Linked DNA regions of Danio rerio. The protein of the gene in region 3 binds, or shares a complex with, the protein of the main gene of each other region. Links are inferred from orthologs where the notes say so. Each region holds a gene or a part of one and is shown on either strand. Other genes may lie near its edges.

What was found.
Region 1: the proteins of rab11fip2 (region 3) and rab25a are in contact, whole or in part, in a crystal structure (PDB 3TSO), measured with the Homo sapiens proteins. The link is inferred for Danio rerio from reciprocal best matches to the Homo sapiens genes RAB11FIP2 and RAB25. Residues at the interface, in NP_055719.1 of Homo sapiens: Arg475, Glu478, Ile481, Asp482, Asn483, Leu485, Val486, Met489, Pro493, Ser494, Leu496, Arg497, Val498, Pro499; in NP_065120.2 of Homo sapiens: Arg34, Ile45, Gly46, Val47, Glu48, Phe49, Ser50, Thr51, Lys62, Trp66, Arg73, Arg75, Ala76, Ile77, Ala80, Tyr81.
Region 2: the proteins of rab11fip2 (region 3) and rab11a are in contact, whole or in part, in a crystal structure (PDB 2GZD), measured with the Homo sapiens proteins. The link is inferred for Danio rerio from reciprocal best matches to the Homo sapiens genes RAB11FIP2 and RAB11A. Residues at the interface, in NP_055719.1 of Homo sapiens: Glu478, Ile481, Asp482, Asn483, Leu485, Val486, Met489, Glu490, Pro493, Ser494, Leu496, Arg497, Val498; in NP_004654.1 of Homo sapiens: Arg33, Ile44, Gly45, Val46, Glu47, Phe48, Ala49, Thr50, Lys61, Trp65, Arg72, Arg74, Ala75, Ile76, Ala79, Tyr80, Arg82.

What each region holds. Positions count from the first base shown.
Region 1 is NC_133194.1:8,473,460-8,479,057, reverse strand, and holds the start of rab25a (ras-related protein Rab-25a), read left to right. Parts: upstream 1-2,372; 5' UTR 2,373-2,524; coding exon 2,525-2,561; intron 2,562-3,006; coding exon 3,007-3,202; intron 3,203-5,483; coding exon 5,484-5,598. UniProt on the Homo sapiens protein: The small GTPases Rab are key regulators of intracellular membrane trafficking, from the formation of transport vesicles to their fusion with membranes.
Region 2 is NC_133193.1:20,515,278-20,520,690, forward strand, and holds the start of rab11a (ras-related protein Rab-11A), read left to right. Parts: upstream 1-2,187; 5' UTR 2,188-2,307; coding exon 2,308-2,347; intron 2,348-5,413. UniProt on the Homo sapiens protein: The small GTPases Rab are key regulators of intracellular membrane trafficking, from the formation of transport vesicles to their fusion with membranes.
Region 3 is NC_133188.1:22,724,615-22,728,940, reverse strand, and holds part of rab11fip2 (rab11 family-interacting protein 2), read left to right. Parts: intron 1-1,354; coding exon 1,355-1,585; 3' UTR 1,586-4,326. UniProt on the Homo sapiens protein: A Rab11 effector binding preferentially phosphatidylinositol 3,4,5-trisphosphate (PtdInsP3) and phosphatidic acid (PA) and acting in the regulation of the transport of vesicles from the endosomal recycling compartment (ERC) to the plasma membrane.

The DNA of each region.
Region 1 (5,598 bases), on a different chromosome or scaffold from region 3:
AAACGCTGCAATTTAGTTTGGGATGACAATTAACCGGAAGCAATGGGGCTGACTGACTGAAATTAAAAGTTTGTGTGCATATACCCCATTGTGTGTAAGATGGAGGAAAAAACAACAGTGAAGCAATTACTTTTCAAAGTGAAATAAAATGATAGGCATTATAAAATTAATGGTTTTCTTCAAATCAAGCACAAGCACTCAATATAAATTACATTTTTGTCATTTAAAAACGTTTCCCAAAAATTAAACTAAAGTACATTAATTTAAGGTGGCATGGTGGCTTAGTGGTTAGTGCTGTTGCATAGAGTTTGCATGTTCTCCGCAAGTTGGTTTCCTCTAGGTGCTCCGGTTTCTCCCACAGTCCAAAGACATGTGCTATAGGTGAATTAAATAAACTAAATTGGCCCTGTGTATGAATGTGTGTGTGAATGATAGAGTGTATGGGTGTTTTCCAGTACTGGGTTGTGCCCAAGGTGCAAATTATACATTCACCAACAGGAGGGTAACCTTTTTGGTATGTTAACGTTAGTTTGTGTAATACATGCTTTAGTGAATCACATGAATGTATTTATTTGAGCTAGTTTAATTAATCTGATTTATTAATAAACATATTTAAGTTTCCAGTGTTTTGTGCGATATTTAGTGTATTCTGACCTACGATATCCTCTGATTAGCTATTCCAGAGTTTACTGTAGGTCAAACTATAAAAACTATGCATCTAATTTGAGTTCACTTTCAGGTTATATGTAGAAACAAACTGCTGTTTTACAAGAAAAGTGTCTTACGAACACTTTGGTTGTCTATCGGTGCTTTGATCTGATGGTTTCAGACTGATAAATAATTTGTTTCTCACATAGACTGATTGTGCATTCACAATGATATGAATAAATATAGGGGTGGTCAAATGTATATATAATCTATTTTTTTCATTCATTTTATTTTATTTTCAGTCCATTTATTAATCAGAAGTTGCTACAGCAGAATAAACCGCCAACTTATAGCCAGGGCCAGACGGAATCTGCGGACGTTTTTTGCTATTTCTGCTGAGAATTTTGGTAAAAATCTGTGGTTTTCTGCGGAATTATTTTGGGAGTATCCAGCAGAGTATCATAACTAAGACCTTAATGTATTAAATAAAAAGAAATAAATTACTGAATAAAAACTGAATAAATTCAGATATACACACTTACTCAAGTAAATAAACAGAATTAATGATGGGCTAAAAATCTGCAGAAATCTGCAGAATTCTGCGGAAAATCTGCAGAATTCTGTGTGCGCAGATTCTGTGTGGGCCTACTTATAGCATATGTTTTACACAACAGATGCCCTTCCAGCTGCATCACTGGGGAACACCCATACACACTCATTCACACACACTATGGACAATTTATCTATGGTCTATACCCAATTCACCTATATAGCACATGTCTTTGGACTGTGGGGGAAATCGGAGAACACGGAGGAAACCCATGCGAACACAGGGAGAACACGCAAACTCCACACAGAAATGCCAACTGACCCAGCCGGGGCTTGAACCAGCAACCTTCTTGTTGTAAGGCGATGGTGCTACCTACTGTGCCACTGTGACGCCCCTATTATTATCAGTTTTTATATTATCTTTTAAGAAACAAATCAGAGTAACCTCTATTTCTCTCTTTTTAGAGGACTGACCCCCATACACGCTGTTTTGATGTGCTTCAGGTGGGATAAAGCATTATTTAGGGGGGTCAGTTCTCCCGCGAAACCCCCTGTAATTCGCACCCTGGTTGCAACGCTGTAAGTGCATCCGCTGCATAAAACATATGCTAAAATAGTTGGCGGTTCACTCCACTGTGTCGATCTTGAAGGAAAGCTGAAGGAAAGCTGAAGGAAAATGAATGAATGAACATTCATTTAATAAGATTACACACATATTTCACACCCCTGGCTGTCTGTACCAAACAATATACACAATGGTTATTGTGAAAAAAGATGCATGAACAGCAGAGGTGTGATTCACAAGCCTAAACATGAGCCAAACACTGGGCTAAACAGGTAAATTTGCATTAAAATGAGCTAAATTCAAAGCTTTTGTTTTGATTACGTCAAACTAATCAAAACCCCTTTTATTTTATGTTTACAGAAACTCAACCTGTTGCCTATAAAGATACATGTTGATGCAGGACGGCTTGTTTTTCTGACTCAGCTCTTCTGATATTTGTTTTTGCGCATACAGAACTGGATACATACACGCAGTCGGAGTGAAGGAACGGTGATTTAACAGTAGTGTGTGTGAGAGAATGAAGTCACTCCCATTGTGTGTGTGTGTGTGTGTGTGTGTCAGTGGTTCTACCAGTTTCACCTGCTTTCCCACCCAAACTGTCTCAAAGAAGAGTCTGGCTGAATCTGCATTTAGACCTGCAAGAATGGATCAATAAAGCTGTCGGAGAAACCTGAGCATCTGCTTTTCTCCTCCCAGTGGATTCTGAGCTCGAGTAACACGTATGCACTAAACACAGACTGACACATTACAGCTAGAGACAACATGGGGACAGATTTAGCCTACAACTTTGTCTTCAAAGGTAAGTTTCAGTCAGCTGATTGAAGATTAAATGCTTTTACTGTGATTGCTGCGTCTGATGCCTAGCATGCTAATCTAATATATAAAAGATATTTGTTATTTTGTATTTTCATGTATTTCCAATTGTGTCAGAAATTGAAAGGGGTAGTTCACCCAAAAATTAATATTTACTCACTATTTATTCACCTTCAAGCGGTTCCAGAATAGATATGAAGATATTTTGAGGAAAGTTAAAAATCTGTAACCATTGACTTTCATAGTAGGAAAACAAATACAATGGAAGTCAATGGAAACAGGTTTCCAGCATTTTTCTAAATATCTTCTTTTGTGTTCAACAGAAGAAAGAATGTCAAACAGGTTTGCAACTAGTGAAGTGTGGAAATTGTATTTTCCTTTAACTACGCATCATTCAAAGTAAGTTAAATGCTGTCTTGGTTGTCTTTCAGTGGTTTTAATTGGAGAATCAGGGGTTGGAAAGAGCAACCTGCTGTCAAGGTTTACCAAAAACGAGTTCAACCATGACAGTCGCACCACTATTGGCGTGGAGTTCAGCACTCGCTCTGTTCAGGTGGACAGTATCACCATCAAAGCCCAGATCTGGGACACTGCGGGTCTAGAGCGCTACAGGGCCATCACCTCAGCGTACGTCCCTCACTTCATCTTCCTTTCATCTCAGATTCATGTACATTTCCTTGTTTTAGATTATCTGGAATTTGTTGCAATTGATTTAGACTCACACCCAGAACCACTCCTATATGTCTTTTTAACTTGGTACACAGTTTAAAGGATAGTTACTGACAGCTACAGTGCTTTTTGCATTATTTTACTATAGCATAGAAAGTGATTGTGTTTTAAAGTTTCTACCACTACACTTAAAAATGCAAAATTATTTCAACTCAACCAGTCAAATTTCTAATTCATTCATTCATTCATTCATTCATTCATTCATTCATTCATTCATTCATTCATTCATTCATTCATTCATTCATTTATTTTCCTTTGGCTAAGTCTCTATTTCAGAGGTAACCACAGTGGAATGAACCACTGACTGTTCCAGTATATATTTTACACAGCATATGCAATCTTGGGTGCAAACCCTGTACTGGGAAACACCCATACACACTCTTTCACACACATACGGCGAATTTAGTTTATTCAAGTCACCTACAGTGCATGTCTTTGGACTGTGGGGGCAACCAGAGCACCCGGAGGAAACCCACGGCAACATGCAAACTGTACACAGAAATGCCAACTGACCCAGCTGGGACTTGAAGCAGAGATCTTCTTGCTGTGAGGCGACAGTGCTAACCACTGAGCCACCGTGCCACCCTAATTTCTATTTCAACTAGTCAAATATTGGCATACCCAGTTACTGGGTTAAAATTGAAGTGCGATGGACACATCTGTGCTGCCTTCAACATTCAATCAGATGAAGGTCCCTTCTGAGGAAGGAAGTGAAGCAGAATTTTGATTAGGAAATGCCTTGATGCCGTCCTACCACTAAATTTTAGAGTTTTCAGACGATAGGAATTAGAATTTAACCATGGTTATGTTAAATATATAGTTACTGAAATACTGCAGAATATTGAGTTCTTCCTAAAAGATGCTTCTAGATTAGTAAATTATACTATTTAGAAGTTTTGATTTGGTAATTTATTATTATTATATATTTTAAGGGTTTTATGCTTATCAAGGATGCATTTATTTGATTAAAATTTATCAATTGTTATTACAAGTTTGAATAAAAAAATCTGTATAATTTTTTTATCAATTACCAGGATTTTGAATACAGCTTTGTATCTCAATAGATTTTATTTGATGGTTTAATGGTCGAATACGGTGGCCGAGAGAGCTCAAACGAAGTGAATTTAAAGTTAATTGTGCAATTTGTCAGATAATAAGAGATAAAAATATAATTACAACACATTTTAGATCTTTGCAGCATGTTTGAGCTCTCATGGCCAACGTACTCGAGATATTTATTATTAAATCGTTGTAGTGCTTTTTAATAATTTTGTAGTAACTGTAATGCATTTTTGCCTGGATTCATTAATTAACAGAAGATTCAAAAGAATGGCAGTATCCATACATTTATTATATATGTCTTTAAAGTAACTTTTATTTAAATTTAATGCATTCCTGCTGAATAAATTCTTCTTACTATGCTCACACTGAATAAAAATGTTCATGTTGTTGTTGACATACAGAGAAAAAGCATCTTAATTAACATTATTAACTGTTCATTACTGTTGGCATTTCTGTATTTGCATGTTCTCCCTGTGTTGGCGTGAGTTTTCTCCGGGTGCTCCGGTATCCCCCACAGTCCAAAGACATGCGCTATAGGTGAAATGGATGAAGTAAATTGGCTGTGTGTGTATGTGAGAGTGTATGGGTTTTTCCCAGTACTAGTGTGCGGCTGGAGGGGTATTCATTCATCCATTCATTTTCTTTTCGGCTTATTCCCTTTATTAATCTGGGGTCGCCACAGGGGAATGAACCGCTAACTTATCCAGCATATGTTTTACGCAGCGGATGCCCTTCCAGCCACAACCCATCTCTAGGAAAGCTGGATGGGCATCTGCTGTGTAAAACATATGGTGGAATAGTTGGCGGCTCATTCCGCTGTGGTGACCCCTGATAAATAAGCGACTAAGCCGAAGGAAAATTAATGAGTATTATTAATAAATACATTAGCCAAAAGTTCAAGTTTAATGGACCTTATTGTAAACTGTTACGATTAATATCTTACTGGGCCGAAACCTTGTAAACTTTGAAGTGTAGATATTGTGTGATTACAACATCCCGTTCCCCCAGCTTCCCCCGTAGGATGCAATACATACTTATTAAAAACCAAATAATGAATCATGTGAGCCAAATGCAATTGAGTTTCTTGTGTGTTTACATGTAATGCTGTTTGTTTTAGGTATTACAGAGGAGCAGTGGGTGCGCTGCTGGTCTATGACATCACCAAACACCTGACCTATGAGAGCGTGGAGCGCTGGCTGAAGGAACTGTATGATCACGCTGATCCTCATATC
Region 2 (5,413 bases), on a different chromosome or scaffold from region 3:
TCGCCACAGTGGAATGTACTGCCAACTTATCCAGCTTATGTTTTATGCAGTGTATGCCCTTCCAGCCAAAACCCAACACTGGGAAACACCCACACACTTTTGTATTCACACACATATGGCCAATATACTTATTCAGTTCACCTAGGGCGCATGTCTTTAGACTGTGGGGAAAACCAGAGCACTCAGAGGAAAGCCACACAAACACAGGGAGAATTTGCAAACTCCATTAAGAAGTGCCAACTGACCCAGCCAGGGCTCAAACCTGTGACCTTCTTGCTTCGAGGCGATCGTTCAACCCACTGTGCCACCATGCTGCTTATCTCTGAGCATAGTATAGCTATTTTAGAATGGTGGTCCCTTTTAAAGGGATAGTTCACACAAAAATTTCTTCATCATTTACTCAAATTCACATCAACAATTCATAGTTTTCCTTTCCCCTTTAACATATCGATTCTCAATATCGTTACTATCTGTGACATTGTTTTCTACAGTAGGAAGGAACATGAGCATTGTCTGATTAATAAGCAGCAAATAATTATGTCTGGGCAAAGGCGTTTATTTCCGTCAGCATTGTGGAGTGAATGTACCACTGAACTTGTATGTGGCTCATACCAACAATTTTCCTCCTGCTTTCACACACACAGCAGAATTCCTGCTATTTCCTGGTCATGTTACAACTTCTCATTGCAAAAAAAAAAAAAAAAAAGGAACACAATTTCTGGCATTTTAAAAGGGCCTGTTCACACATGATCTCTTTACTGCAATTTACCAGTACCAGAAAAAGATTGTATATGTAAAAGCGGCCATTAACATCCAAAACATGAGCTGTATATTGTACAATTAAAATGATAACAATTATTAAGTTATTCACCTAAAAATATGAGTAAATAAGAAAAAATAAGGCACAATAAAAAACTGTAAAATTTATAGTAAATGCTGTAGTATTGTACTGCAGTAAAATACTTGAATTACAATCGGTTTTGGTTACTCTATAGTTGCTCTTGTAACACGAAAAATATGCTAATATAAGCAAACGACACAAATACTGTAGTTTTCCACAACGATATGTTACATTATACTACAATACACCACCACAGTTTGCTGTATTAAAAAAAAATTATATTAAAGTATTTATGACAGTTTATCAGATGACAATTAACATTACAGCTTACTGAAGCATTCCCTATCTAAGTGTTGTAAATATTATAATATATACTGTTGAATATACTTTACTATAAAAGACTATGGAACAACGTAGTTTTTATTATATATTAATATAGTACTTTTTCACGTGGAATGAATTTATTACAAAATAGATACAAGTGAAAAAAATAAATAAATAAAATACGGCAAATAAGCAAATAAGCAAATAAGCGTGTTACAATGTAACTTAAATGAAACCAAATATTTTTCTCTCTTTATAGTATAAATTATGGAGTCAGATCAGTCTAAAAATACATTTACAAAATAGGATTCATACATGCATAGCACAATTCACATTTACAAAATCCAATTTGGATTTACACACAATTTGTGATTTTACAAGTAAACATCCTAATATTTTCGCCAAATGAATTGGATTTGTGTATATATGAATCGTGTTTTGAACTTAGGAATCGATTTGTGTATTTATGAATTGTGTGTTGAACTTACAAATTGGATTTGTGCAATTATTAATCATGTTTTGAACTTACTAACTGGATTTGTGTATTTATGAATCATGTTTTGAACTTACGAGCTGGATTTGTGCATTTATGAATCATGTTTTGAATTTAATAATTGAATTTGTGCATTTATAAATTGTGTTTTGAATTTGTGAATTTGATTTCTATTTATGAACTGTGTTTTTAATTTTATGAATTGGATTTATGTATTTACGAATTGTGTTTAGAACATACAAATTGGATTTTGTAAATGTGTATTGTTTTGTGAATATATGAATCATATTTTGTAAATGTATTATTTTTGAGACTGATCTGGCTCCATAATAAATTGGCTCAATTGAGACGGTGGTTCCTTACAAAAACATATGTCTTATACTTCATTATATAAAATGCCCTTGGTGAACAGAAATAATACACAATGAATAAAAATAATAAATAATCCTGCTTTTATTTTGACAGTCTGTAAGGGCCCTCACCCGGAACACTTGAGGAGATGTTCTCTGGTTCGCCTGCTCGCTAAGCCGTTAGCATGGCTACTGCCTAATCACAGACAGACTGCAGTGCCGCAGCGGAGAGGACAGCGACGGGTCGCCTCCACTTTCCTTCACATTCTTCCATTGTTTGCGCTTTTGTTTTGATCGAGATGGGGACACGAGACGACGAATACGACTACTTGTTTAAAGGTAAGTACGTAATACTTTTGTCGCGACTGTACAAGTTAAAGCGTCTCCGATCATCGTGGTTATTGTTAGTTAGTGTGGTTTTATATTAAACAGTAAAGGCCAGCTAACCGGCTAGCTCACTTCGAGCAGCCCAAACAAACTCCTGCTCTTCGGCTGGAGTAGCGTATTTGAGTCTGTATCGTTATATGTATAATATTATTTAGTTACTGTGCATTGGGTTAATATAGATGTTGGTTAGCATAAAAAACACAGTTTTCCAGAGATCCGACCACACCTTGAAGCGGCTAGCTGAAGTTAGCTGACACTGTCGCTGGATGAGTTTAACGGAGCAGGCGGAAATGGGAAACGGCCTGTATTCCCGAATGTTTTTTCAAGCCTGTGTGTCTTTGTTGTTTTTTTGGCCATAATATATTTTGATATACTTAAACCACCGTTCGCTGTCATTATATCTTAGTTCATATACTAAAACTGAACTGTGACCGACGCTGTCATGACGTTTAACATCTCCTTTTGTATTCCACCGAGATAAAAAACATCATATGACATTGAAGCAACTTGAACAACGAAGGAATTTCTTCAATTTGGATGAACTGTTCTTTTAAATAGATAATTATTTGTGTCAGTTTGTTGTCTTGGAAGTAAATACTAGATGTCAGGTGATGCGGCCTGTTTTTCTCGAATATGTTGCTCATCGTTTTTCTTTCATTAAGCAAATGTGGAGTTTCTATCATTTGGAATAAGCTCTTGAAACAATAAGTTTAGTCATATTTGCAGCACAGTTGACTCATTACGTATGTTTTCACTTCTGTGAGACACATGTAGTCATTTAAGAAGTTCTGTGCTGTCACGTGAATCGTAGTGATAGTAAACTAGCTACCTCTACCTGTCTTCACGTAAGCCCAGAACCACTCGGAAATCTCCACCAGTTTCTGTCATAACAAAATGTCAAAAAATGTCACCAAAAATGGTAATCTCACCCACATTGTGAAATAAATAAATATATATATATATTTTTTGCCATTTATTTAAATGTACTTCTCTCAAATGATGTTGTGTGGTGTGTTGTGACATAGAGCTCTGAGTGTGAAGAGGTTTGTTCCTTTATTTAATGTAGACAGAAGTGTTTGTGTAAAGAGTCATTTAACTTAAAAATTAAAATGTGGCAATCGTTTACTCACCCTCATGTCATTCAAACCAACATTTCCATTCATCTTTGAATTGAAAATAAATTTGACAGATCCCTTCACTGAAAGTCCATCTAATAAAAACTGACAATTTATGAAATTCATAAGTAGATCTGGCACGATAACCGTTTTCAAGGTAAACTGTGGTTCAGAAAAGGTTTTGAAACTGCCAAAATATTCTGCTATACCATTTAAGATATATTATATAAGATTTTTTTAAAACATTTTTTTTTTCGAAGATGCTCTTTTGATTCGTAAAGAAATCTGTGTTTTTGAAACTAACGAGTAAAGCAGAAGTCTGTCCGTGCCAATAGCCTAGTGGTGAAGTGTGCTGACATTGCACCATGGTGCTCATGTCGACCCGAGTTCAATTCCTGGCTCAAGGTCCTTTGCTGACCCTTCCCCTCTGCTCCCAATACTTTCCTGTCTGCAAACTTTACTGTCCTTTCAAATAAAAGTGAAAAAACCCTAAAAAATAACTATAAAAAAGGAATACAGCAGAAGTCAATGGCTGCCTCCGAAATCGCCTACTACTCAGTAGATACTGCATTTGAATTTAAATGTACTACTAAATCTGCTGTTTAAAAAGTATATTCTGTACAGTATGAATGGAACTCGGATGTACTACATACTCCATTTTGTCATGATTACGTGACCTACCTGTATAAGTTGCGTCGCTTCACTCTCATTCAAAAATTCTCCCACAGGGCATTATGAGATAGCACAGTGTGTATCGAATGCACAATTCTCGCATATACTGTTTTTTGAATTCTATGAATTTGGACACACTGGTCCGGTCTCATACTGTTTTAGCGTAATTTATGATATAGAAGTATAGACACATTTCGGACACAGCCAATGATCCATTTGAATTTAGCCTGACATGTTTACAGTTCCAAAATATTTTAAATATTTCTTAAAATAAAATGATGTATTGTGTTCAGAGGGGGAAAAGTTTTTGTTTTTTACCCAGACATTTAAAAAGAATATATTTTAGAGCAGTGATCACTATACTGTGAAACCGTGATGTTTTATCCAAGATTATCATACCACCAGAATCTTACACCAGCCCATGCCTGTTCATTAGCACTCTAAATTTATCAGGCTCTTAAATCCAGTGCTTTTGAAGAGAAGTTATTGTTTTATATGATGAACCCATTTTGATTGGTTGTCATATTTTAATACTGACGGACATGCATATTTAGAGTCAATCAAATATGGTAAACAAACTGTCAACATTTTGATAAAATTCTCATGTTTTACGTAGAAAGTTTTAAGTTGAATTTTGAAGCATATCAGAAGTCTTGTATGCTGAAAAATGACTATGTAAAATGTAGTTTCTTTTTTGAGTTTTTGCGCTCCAAAATTTGTTAAACAATGAATTGTATGTGTGGAATTAAGTAAAATTAGATTTTTTTTTATGCTCGCTTTTCTTGAAAACATGTAAATAGTTGATTTCCTATCACAGTTTCTCTATTGTTTGAGTGTGAATGTCATTTTGAGTAGAAAATGAACTGCAGATGTCATAAACTCAATTTATAATACCTGACAACAACAGCAATGAAATGGCAGTGTAAATTTACCTGGAAAACTGGAAAGTGCAAAATGCTCCAGGGTGTGTTGGGAACAACAGTTTCAGAAAGTTGATATTTATTGTTATTGCTTTCATATATATTTGGGAGTCACGACCAAAACAACAAAGGATTCAAAGAAAAATATACTTTTTAGAAATTTTATTGAGCAGTAATTTAGAATATTGATTTTCATTGCTGACTTTATTGTTTAATGTTTTTTTATGTTTTAGTATTTTCTTCATCACAGAATCGTTTATTTAATCAGTGTAGTAGTTTGGAAAGACACAAGGCTTGAGTAAATAATGTGA
Region 3 (4,326 bases):
CTGACCGCATTTAGTGCATGTTTTCACCTTGACAGCAGAAAGTGTGAATTTGTCAAACACTTGTTGGCAGATGAGCAAATGTTTCTAAATTGCTGTTCCCTCAATATCATGCTGAAGTCAGACACATACACTTCTTGTGTCAACACATTATTGAGCTGCTTAATAGAAGCGAAGCTTGAACGTTTAGAGCAGCACCGTTAATAAAAGCTCGTTTTTGCAATAAGCTCTCTATTGATGGAAACATTTCATAACATGTTTATTTTATGTGTCTACATTAATCCGAATATATCTGAAAATGGCATGTTTATTTCATAACTGTTTCTTTCTAAAGTTGCTCATGCACACTGAAACTTAAAATAATATTATCTAATTATCATACTGCTGATGCATTAGACATCATTTTTATGCAGCTCTCATGAACACTTGATTCTGATTGGTCAATCACACTATTCTAATGTATGCTATTTCCAGAAAACAGTCACTGAAACTAGTATGGGTACTTTGAATAATCTTGATCTGTTACACCACTGTTTTTAATACATTTTCTGACATTTTTGCAGAGATGTGATATCAAAACTGTGCAAAGTAACTTTTATATAGTCTAGTTTTATTGTGTAGACAGTATAGTAAATCGCAAACACTGTTTCATCCAAAAATCGAAATTATTTTAATAAAATCATCCTATGAATGTTTTTTTTCTGTAGACTGTAAACAAACCTGAAACCAAAAGCTATCCCAATTAGCCAGTTAACTAGGAAAAGAAAAACAATATGAAAAGCCAACTACATTTACAAAAATCTATACCAAAAAAATCAATACTATATATATATATATATATATATATATATATATATATATATATATAAATGTAAACAGACTCAATGCTCACAAAACTATCACACACCGTAATAACCAATTATAGGTTCTATATTATATTATATTATATTATATTATATTATATTATATTATATTATATTATATTATATTATATTATATTATGTTATGTTATGTTATATAACTTTTTATCGTGAGGAAAGTTTTTATGGTATATTGCAAACAATAAAATTTCCTGGAAGTGAATCTGGTCAAAAAGTCAATATATTTTAGATCCTCTTTGCTGTCCTAGATCAGTTCAGCTACTGCTTGTGTCCACTTACAATCTAACACAAAGCCTTCAGATGAACTTATTGGCAAGTTGAAGTTTGGACATAAAATGTTGAATGCCAAAAGAAGCATGTGATTAATTGGAATAGAAGTTTAATTTCCCAGCATGCTACAAGCGATTAAATAGTGGTTTCAGGAGGTTTTTTTATGCAATAACAATGTAATGCCATGTGTTTTTCTTCATAAATAGGACCTTGAACATCTGCAGACGAGTGTAGCGGCCTACAGCAATCTCTCCTTTGAGGAAGTTGTGCAAGAGCTCATTAAGCAGAAGGATGTTGTAAAGAAGAAAGATGCTCATATTCGGGAGTTGGAGGACTACATTGATAACCTGCTGGTCAGGGTAATGGAAGAGACGCCCAGCATCCTGAGAACACCCTATGAGCCCAAGAGAAAAGCTGGAAAGATCTCGAAAAAGTAAAGAATCACTGAAGAATATTGTAGCTTAAGATTTCTGGCAAAATATATATATTGCTTGATAAAGGACCCTGGAGTGTCACCTGGGATTGAACACAGGTCTATTTGTTCACACATAGACAAATTTCATGTGATAAAGTTACTCTAGGTTTGCAAGAACATTGTGACAGAAGCCAGGCACTAAATGTGGAGATGCCAAACCCCCCTATTTAGATTTTTTCCATGACTTTATTTAGATTTCTGTTTTTAAGATTCCTTTGAGCTGTCAATTAATACATGATGAGTGAATATTTTTTTTAATATTCACGAGCAGTCATTCCTAGCTAAGAGCAGCGTTCTTGTGTTTTTACCGAAAATAACTGTGTTTAAGTTGACTTTTACTTTGAATTCAGTCAGTATAACAGAATTCAGCACTTAAAAGTCTTGGTACTACTGTGTTTTACATTTATCACTGGGGTGGACTATCTATATGAGGCCTTGAATTTGCTGTGACTGAACTCACGCTGCAAAAGCTGCTCCCGATCAGTTGAGGTACACATTTGTCATATGCAAAAATGGAAACATAAATTAGTGGCACCACCGGACATAGAAACGCATGTTTACTGGATGTTTTAGCAGCGGGGGTGTTGATTTACTGGAAGACCACTCTTGGGTTTGACAGGGTAATTCTAATAATAAGTGTAAACAAGTGATGGAGACTTGTGTTTGGTGCCATATTGATTGGTTGGTTACAGGATGCTGGTACTGAAAGCTTATGGTACTCGTATATATCTAACAAATAATAATACGCTGATACGGAATACACTACTAAATATTTATTTTGAGCTTAATTGCAGTGAGCATATGGCATATATGAATGACACGGTTCACTTTTAAGTCCCAGAAACAAAAGAAACGTGTCGCAGAAGTGTAGAAATGAGCATCCAGTTTCCAAAGACTTTAATCTGAATGTTGAATTGGAAAGTTCTGCTTATGAATATATTCCGTTTATCACAGAACAGTCAAAGATTGTAGACTGATTGTTTTGACTGGGGAAATTTTGATTACTGATATCCGATATCACTATGTTTGGAAGCCGATAAGTGATATATAAATAGGCCGATAAAAATAATCTGTCTGATTACAGAAACAAATGGCAGACAGTGGGCAAACATATTTTATTTTAAACCTTATCTACAGCAAATAAGGAAACTGCAAGGAAATGTGTTAAAAACACACACACAATGGAAAACTACCACACTGTGACATCATTCTAACGGGCCAATAACAGTAACATTACAAATAAGCATTTATTTACAGATACTGATATGGCATCCATATATTTCCCTAGTTTTGACCATTTTATTAAAATGTAGCTATTTAATCAATATGTCAAACACAGAAGTATTGCAAATCTACTTTCAGCAAGTTATGAAACTCAATTTCTTATTTTAACGGAGCCAGTAAATTTAAAATGAAAGTGAATACGTTAATTTAATTGGTCTTTGTAGTCATTTAGTTCAAAACGTTTATAGAAACGTTCAGACAGTCGGATTTATTACTATGTTTATCATGTTTACTACACCAGAATCACATAGAAAAAACAATGATTGTTTACAGTTTGCGTTATAGTTTATACCTGCCAAAATTGACCAACGCTTCTATGACTTTGTTTAATGAACAGTGAACTTGTTTTTTGCTGGAAAACCAGAATGAATCTCTTAGAATTTCCAAAAGAAATACTTTTATTTTGTTTACAACAAATTTATTAACCATTCCTGTTACAAACTTGGGAAGATGTTTGTATTTTAAAATGCAAGTTTTAAACCAACCAAGTCAATCAAAGATACTTAAAACCTTTTTCATCAGCTGCACAAAAAGATTTATTAAAACAAATAATTCACAGCATCAGTTTACATACAGTGTATATATATATATATATATATTCATATATACTGTATGTTTTGCAATTGTGCTAAACTATTATGTGTTTTCAGGCATTTTTAGAATAAAAAAAGAAGATTTTTTTTGACTCAATTAATTAATTTTAGATTTCAAGCCAGTACTCTTGAATATTTATACACTTCTTACAGGGATTACTGGGATTTGTCTCATTTCCTGTTACCTACGGTACATATCTTTTCAGAAAAGTACATTGGCTATCATTTATGGTAATCTGAGCATTTATTTTTCATCGTAACCGTTTTTTTTTCAATGTTTATTTTTCGAACATAACAATGTTACACTGGAGTGTGTGTGTTTTTTGAACAACATCGGTGCATTTGCACACCAGACACTGAAAAAATGTGCATTTGAGAAAACTAGAATGATTGTAATGGAGATGTAGTTTATACTTTAAAGGGTATAATATGTTAGCTCTTAATGAAACTTTATACCAGGCAGTTCTTTAGACAATAATTACCCATAATTTTTTTTTTTATTTATAAAACAACATAATGTATAATTTGAGTGTATATACTGTAGATCAGCTGAAATCTTTCCAAGTGTAGTTTTTCCTGAATGACATGGTAAAAAGAAACACTGTGCTGGTTAGTTTACAGGAAAGGAAGTCACGTCTTCTCTAATATTGGGTCACAATGAGAAAGTGTTGTGTTCTAATCTAGATGTAAATTATTCATGTTTTGTTTGTTTAAAGGTTTATTTACCTACCTTTTAGTATGTATTTGGAGAGGTTTACATGTGTGTAATTGACAACTCACGTCAAAATCATTCAGTGCCACGAGCAGTGTTACACAGTGCTGTCGT